Sus scrofa: one gene and its partner. The protein of the gene in region 1 purifies or fractionates together with the protein of each later gene. This does not show direct contact. Links are inferred from orthologs where the notes say so. Each region holds a gene or a part of one and is shown on either strand. Other genes may lie near its edges.

Evidence for each region. Proteins that work in one complex are often made in the same cells at the same time.
Region 2: the proteins of UBXN7 (region 1) and KLHDC3 purify together in Homo sapiens (affinity purification with mass spectrometry; 3 studies listed by BioGRID and IntAct, with this or other methods). This does not show direct contact. The link is inferred for Sus scrofa from reciprocal best matches to the Homo sapiens genes UBXN7 and KLHDC3.

Annotation. Positions count from the first base shown.
Region 1 is NC_010455.5:133,741,652-133,745,298, reverse strand, and holds part of UBXN7 (UBX domain-containing protein 7), read right to left. Parts: intron 2,248-3,647; coding exon 1,854-2,247; intron 1,751-1,853; coding exon 1,671-1,750; intron 376-1,670; coding exon 214-375; 3' UTR 1-213. UniProt on the Homo sapiens protein: Ubiquitin-binding adapter that links a subset of NEDD8-associated cullin ring ligases (CRLs) to the segregase VCP/p97, to regulate turnover of their ubiquitination substrates.
Region 2 is NC_010449.5:38,079,757-38,083,503, forward strand, and holds the start of KLHDC3 (kelch domain-containing protein 3), read left to right. Parts: upstream 1-1,156; 5' UTR 1,157-1,220; exon of another isoform or gene 1,221-1,230; intron 1,231-1,983; exon of another isoform or gene 1,984-2,143; intron 2,144-2,294; exon of another isoform or gene 2,295-2,414; intron 2,415-2,459; exon of another isoform or gene 2,460-3,074; intron 3,075-3,353; 5' UTR 3,354-3,412; coding exon 3,413-3,566; intron 3,567-3,745; coding exon 3,746-3,747. UniProt on the Homo sapiens protein: Substrate-recognition component of a Cul2-RING (CRL2) E3 ubiquitin-protein ligase complex of the DesCEND (destruction via C-end degrons) pathway, which recognizes a C-degron located at the extreme C terminus of target proteins, leading to their ubiquitination and degradation.

The sequences.
Region 1 (3,647 bases):
AAAAAGAAGAAAATAGGAAAGGAGAGAAAACAAGAGGGGAGGTAGTTAGGGAGAGACTGATTATAGGAGAGAACAAGAAATAAGAGAGAAGGCAGGTGACTTGTTGCCCAAATTTGGCTCTATGGTCCTATGAGCCAAAATGCATACTCAGTGACATCGTATCTCAGAGTAAAGGGAAAAGGGGGGTAAGCTGAGAGAGGTCAGGCCATGATGTTAATTTCTTTCCTGTACAAAGACAGTCTCTTGAGGACAAAGGCCTGCCTCTTGTAATGTAATGTCATAGTCCAGATGAGAGAGTTTCCTTCGAGGGAAGTTGGTGAGAAGTTCAAAACGTTCATTTGGATATCCTTTAGACTGCACATGCTTCACCAAAGCCTGTGAAAATAAAAGAAAGACAAAGCTGTTAGATGGAAATAAAGAGTATATTGAAGAATTAAAAATATAACATTAATTTTTATATTAGATGAGATATAAGTTATTCTTTCATATAATTGGCCCTCTTGTGGAAGGGCCAATATAAACCTTCAGATGGGGAGAAAATAAACCTGTATCCAATAATTTAGAGTCAACAAGTGATCCTGAAATATACAGAGTTATCACTATTTCTCCAATAAACAAACCCAATTTTTGTTTATAAAATTATTACCCTCATTTTTAAACACTTATCTGTTTTCTTTCCTTCTATTTATCAGGGAAGACATGTCCTTCAGCCCACCTACAGCCAATCTTGCCACCTGTGCACTGAATTACTTCCTGCCTTCTCAGAAGCTGTGCCACTAGAGAACACCATTCTTTATAGATATCAACATCTCCTTTACTCCTTTACTAGTGCTTCCCATCAGACTTTCACATGCTCAGTCTCTCCTTCAATCTTCTCTTTCCCTCTAATTACTGCCCACTCCCCATTCTAGCTTCACAACCAACCACCTCAAAAAAGTGGTCTATATTTGGTCTTCATCTCCCATTCCCTTCCAATTACTAGATTAGGGAGACAGTCCAGTATAAGCACCAGAAGCCAGAGACGCTGCATTCCAGTCAAGGTTCTAAATTATCTGCAGCCATAGCAAATGGCCAGGCATGGACCTGACTCAAGGACTGATTCACAGGCTGGGCTAAGCAAGTCAGATTCATTCTCTTTTCCAGGAGTTGAAACACACACAGAGGGAAGGACCATCAGCTGTGGACTATGGAAGAAAAGGCCCTCACAGCATTACTATAATGGACTATCTACAAACTATACACAAAAGCCACGAGAATAGAGAGAGAAGAATGGAATGCAGCAGAGAATCACAAGGGTAATCAAACAGGCCCCAGGAGGGAAATACACAGAAAAATCATCTTGGTTCTTAACTACATTGCAGTTCCAGCTACTGGGAAACCCAGGAGCCTCATTATAGTCTTCAATTAACCCCATTCCCTCTTTCCAGGTAATAATTTCAGTTGGATTTCTATTATATGCAGGCATGGAACAGAAAAGCCTTAAAGGGAACAGACTAGGTGAGTTGTCCAAGACAATTTGGGAAGGAAATAAAGCAGTTAGAATTAAGATTCACCACTGTTAAGTTTCCAGTTAGAGATCAGACCTAACAACCATTTCAAAGAACCATCAAGCTAATTATGCCAATTAGTTTCTCTGCTTCAAGTAAATGTATCCAATTAGATATACTTACTAGTAGTTTAGCTTGTTCTGGGAGAGTGATTTGTTCCCTTTTTCCATCTGGATACCGCAACATCAGCTGTGCTTTTGGTCCTAAAGGAAAGGTTAAGAAAATACAGGAGCTTAAAATAGAAGACTAAACAAATAAATAAACCCCTTCAAGTTTTAAGTAAAGGACGTCTAAAATGTAACCCACCATTTACATCTATGCCCTCCACCACTCCATCGGATTTTTCAGGTGACATTTCCAATATTTCTGAATCCACGGATGGTAACCCTTGGTGATTTGTGGCTGTTCCAGGCTCAGTTCTGGCAGGGGGCTCAGTCAGTGACCTTCTGTTCTCCTCTTTTCTATGCCCCAAATCTTTATGGGGAGACTTTCTAGACTTGGCAAGATTCTCTATGTCCTCCTCTTCATCAGAGCCACACACAGATATGAACTCCTCACTGCCAGAAAAAAGTTCAGATTCAGATTCTTCATCTGAGCGGCTATCCTGTTTTGTCTGTGTGGAATCAAAATGTGTCTCTTGCAAGGAGGCTCTGATGGCAGCTTCTAGTTGGCTGTCTTCACTTGCATCTATAAGGCTCTCCTGCAAGATGCAGTTATAAAACATGGATAGAAAGAAAAAGGAAAGAGTTAAACCAAAAACTAATCAAGTCAAACAGGGCATAAGAAATGTAATAGCTTGCCATTATTATTTTCTTCTAGAGGCTATCTTTTCTACTAAATGTTAAGCTATTTGAGGGCAACAACTCTGTCTTACAGAGCGTAGTTGGAATGGAATTTTAAAAACAAAAATAAAACTTTCATACATACTACCTGGCACAGTGACTACAAGCACAGCATTTTTTGTTTTGGAATCAAGGTGAATAAAATCAAGAAAACAATTTATCAGAGTTCCCATAGTGGTGCAGAGGAAATGAATCTGACTAGTAACCATGAGGTTGTGGGTTCAATCCCTGGCCTCACTCGGTGGGTTAAGGATCTGGCATTGCTATGAGCTGTGGTGTGGGTCACAGACGTGGCTCGGATCTGGCATGGCTGTGGCTGTTGCGTAGGCCGGCAGCTACAGCTTCGATTAGACCCCTAGCCTGGGAACCTCTATATGCCACAGGTGCGGCCCTCAAAAGACAAAAAGACCAAAAAAAAAAAAAAAAAAAAAAGAAAACAATTTATTCCCTATCCAGAAAAAGACAAGAACTAGGTTTTAAATTTAAAGCCCAAACATTAGCCTTTAAAATGACTAAACACACAAGTTCCCATCGTGGCACAGTGGAAACAAATTCAACTAGGAACCATCTCAATCTCTGGCCTCGATCAGTGGGTTAAGGATCTGGTGTTGCTGTGAGCTGTGGTGCAGGTTGCAGGCGCAGCTCAGATCCTGCATTACTGTGGCTGTGTTGTAGGCCAGCAGCTGCAGCTTTGATTTGACCCCTAGCCTGGGAACCTCCATATGCAGCGAGTGTGGCCCTAAAAAGCAAAAAATAAAAAAATAAAAATGACTAAACACAGAGAAAGATATCACTGTGTACTTCAACTAGCACTGCTTTGGTACATGGAAGACTATCAATAAATAATTCAGTAACGATCATTTTGCAAAAAAATCTAACAGATCTTTAACATTCAAAACAAAACAAAATACCACATAATAAACAGGGAAAAAACAACTGTATTTTCCCAAGCTTAATTTCAATGAAGGTTTTCATTGTGATCATGAGAAAAGCAAATTTCAGTAGTTTTCCCCCTGGAAAAGTTCTAATATCAAGATTTCACTAAACTTGGAGTTCCCATCATGGCTCAGCAGAAAGGAATCTAACTAGCATCCATGAGGATGCACGTCTGATCCCTGGCCTTGTTCAGAGGATTAATGATCCAGTGTTGCCGCAAGCTGTGGTGTAGGTCGCTGATGAGACTTGGATCTTGTGTTGCCATGGCTATGGTGTAGTGCGGCAGTTACTAGCCTGGGAACCTCCATATGCCAAGGGTGCA
Region 2 (3,747 bases), on another chromosome or scaffold:
GAGAACAGAGATCAGACAAAATTAGGCCCAGCTTTAGCCTGTCATCCAGTCCCGTGCGGTCTCCTCCTGCGCCCACAAAACATTGAAACGCCCAAGTTTCCTGCACCCCACAACACCTCTCCTGGACTCTCCACCTCTTGAGCTGGCTCTTATCTCCAACCAAGGCCCACTTGCCTTGCTCCGACAATTCTTAAATAACAGCCCAAGCGAAGGCCATGCCACCTTCCAAAAGACACCCCTTCGGGAACGCCCTCCCCCCCGCCCCATCCACTTAGGAACTCCGGGTCACCAAACAAGCTCCCCTAGACAAGGCATACCCGCCCCCTTCTCTCCTCTCTAAGGGATTTCCCTCTGTACCGCCTGATAAACGCCCTTCGGACCCCAGGAGATCCCTTCAAATGGCCCCAGATGTGGCGTCCCCGACCCGCCCCCACCAATTCTCGGCGCCGGTATTTGCGCGCGCCTCACCCGCTCAGAGCCCGCGGCCGAACCCCGCACCTTCACTTCCGGCGAGGCAGGACGTTCCGAGGCGGCCCCGTCCTCCAGCCCCGCCCCGCCGCGCTCATGATTGACACGAGTGAAGGCGAAGGGTCCGCCCCTTGCTCCGCCTCCACCATCTTCTCGCCAAACAAAGGACTACATTACCCGGTAGGCCCCGCGGTTGTTTGTGTTTGGTTTTGTTTTGTTTTGTTTTGTTTTTTTTAATTTTAGGGCCGCCTGTGTAGCATATGGAAGTCCCCAGGCTAGGGGTTGAATCGGAGCTACAGCTGCCCGGCCTACACCACAGCCACAGCAACACGGGATCCGAGCCGCGTCTGTTACCAACACTGCAGCTCGTGGCAAGGCCGGATCCTTAACCCACTGAGCGGGGCCAGGGATCGAACCCTCATCCTCTTGGATACTAGTCAGGTTCGTTACCACTGAGCCGCAACGCGAACTCGGCCCCGCGGTGTTTGATAGGTATAAGCACATGCGCAGACTCCTCCGACTCCTGCCCATCCTTCAGCCCCTCGCGTTCCTCCCGAAACCGATGGACTACAAATCCCGGTAGACTTCCGGCACTTAGAGCTGAATGCACGTGCGCTTACAGCTGCCCGCCGGAAGGACCGAGCCTGGCTGTGTTTATCTCGTTGGAGATCCAGTCGGCAGTTGGCGGGCAACGGGTTCAAAGCTGCAGGCAGCGCGAGGACCCGCGGCCCCGCCCCGGCCCGGCCTGGCAGGTAGCCCGTGGTGGGTTGAGGGACGAGGAAAATCATAGGGGATGGGGACGCCGATGCCTAGAGCTGAATTGTGGGGGAGGGGCCGGAGACCGATGAGGTGGGGGTGGGGAGGGGGATGACGGGAAAGGAGAGTGTTAAGGGGGAAAGAAGGGCTGGGGGAGGATGGTGGGGAAAGCGATGGGAGAGACCTGGTAACTGGAGAAGGCACTGAAGGGAACTGGAAGGAAGACTGGGTTAGGAGGAGAATGGGAAAGCTGAGGATAATGGAAGAAAAGGGCGGGGGTGTCTGGTGTTGTGGGGGCAGGGAGGTTGGAATGACTGGAAGAAGACCCGGATAGCGTCATATACAGGGAGGAATATCTCTGGCCGAAAGGGGTCAGGGGATGTTAGCTTGTTTCCCCCCTATCGAAAGAAGGAAAATGGAAGGCTGTCGGGGTGGAGCTTGGAGTTGTGGGAGAAGGAAAAAGCAGAAAACTGCAAAGCTCTCAAGAGATCTGAAAAGGCCAGAAACGGAGAGTGAAAATTGCAAGAGAATAGGAAGGGGGGCAGGTCTCTGAAAGGCATGGAAGAAGCTGGAGAATGCCGCAGTGATGGAGCACGGACGGGAGAGCCCCAGGGATCAGAGGCGCCCGGGAGATGCTGGGGCTTGTCTTTCATGAGCTTGAGTTGTCCTTTGGAGAAGACGCTGAGGGTTTTTTCCTCTACCTTTGGATGGAATTGCTTCCCTCTTGCCCAGTGAATTCTTTACTTTACCTTGATATAGCTGAAGAGGAGAGTAGAAGCTGTGAGGGAAGAGGAAGGACCCCCATTCTTAAGCTCTCCAACTTCCTTCCTATCTGTCCCCACAAGCCCAGATCCAAGAGCTTTTGGATTGAGGACGGGAGTAATGAAGTGAGAGTGGTTTCCTGCTGGGGCTATTTCAGGTTTGGCAGAGTGGGGGAGGGTTGGGGGAAGTTGGGTGGGGGCAGGGGTCTGGCAAGCCAGCTCAAAGCCCTGTGTCTTTCTTGCAAGGGACCTTCCTTTACTTGAGCTTTTTCTGTGCCTGAGGTTCGGGCTAGCTCTTCTCTCTGCCAGGGCTTCTTGAACAGGGAGCAGATGATCCACCCAAACCCAGCAGGTGCCTGCCAGCGAAGGCAGTGCCAGCTGCAAGAGGATTTGTCTAACAGAGCCTTCAAATGTACCCATTATCTCTAGGTTGGTGGGTTGTCTTGCAGAGACCATGACCGCTCATGCCTGGGTCTTTTTCTTATCCTGACCAAAGGCATTTTTGTGTTCCTGCTCCTCTCCAAGGCACATCGCCACCCCCATCCCCTTTCAGGGCCCCAAACGGGAAAAGAGCTGCTGGAAACAGCTTGTTCCTTACCACAATGGCAGGGTTGGGCAAGTGGCAAGAGGAGAAAACCCCGCCTCCCCACCCCCACCCCCTCAATCCCCGGCAGACACATACCTTTCTGGCTTAAGTTCTTGGCAGCATCCCAGGCACAGCTGTCAAAGGAACTCATCGTGCCTGTGAGGGGCCCTGGGTGACCCTGCTGACAACAGCTCAGTTGCACAAGAGCCCCCCAGGAGGGGCTAACTGTCCATGGAAGTCCCCGTCCCGGATTCATCCCACCCTGTCCTGGATAGAGGGACTGTTCCTCTCTGAAAGCCTAAAAGCTTTTCAGCTTGGAGACACTCATGCCAGCTTTCAATGGACCGTTTGGGGCTGCCTGGGCTATTCATAGCTCTGAGTATTTTGAGATCCCGCTCCCCACCTCAAAGAGCACACAGATTCTTAGAGAGGTGGCAATAAGCAGAGCAGAGCCAGAGAGAAAAGAGGAGCTTGGGCCTGGCCAGGGACAGGGTGGAGCCTCGGTAAGTAGGAGACAACCATGTTAAGCCCTTTTTCAGCAGCCGAGCTGGCAGTCAGGTCAGAGTGGCCCCACCCTTCACTGTTGGAGAACACAGGGCCGGGGGCCAGCTCCCTGACCTCAGCAGCTCCCTTAGTACATAGCCAGCCACCTGAGCTGCAGAGGGGTGGTGTGGAAGGGCCACCAGGGTGACACTTGGAGGCCAGGGCTAGTCCTGGGCAGAGTCACGGTGAGCCAGGCAAAGGCCTTGCCTGAGGAGCCCACGGTCCTAACTTGTGTGCAGGTAGCAGAGGCAGCAGGCCGTGCCGGGGGGGCATGTGGCTGTAACCAGTGGCCCAGGGGATGTTACGCTGGACGGTGCACCTGGAGGGCGGGCCCCGCAGGGTGAACCATGCTGCAGTGGCCGTCGGGCACAGGGTGTACTCCTTCGGGGGTTACTGCTCCGGCGAGGACTATGAGACGCTGCGTCAGATTGATGTACACATTTTCAATGCAGGTGAGCTCCCCTGGGGACCATCCCTGGGCGCCCCCATCAGGGAGGGCAACTGGGCGGCTGAGGAAGGTTTGATGTGGGTGCCTGCAGCCAAAAGGGATGGAGAACACGCACATCTGGTTTGGGGAGAGGTGGATAGCCTCAAGGGAGGTTCCCAGGGCTGAGCAGAGCTGTGCCCACAGTG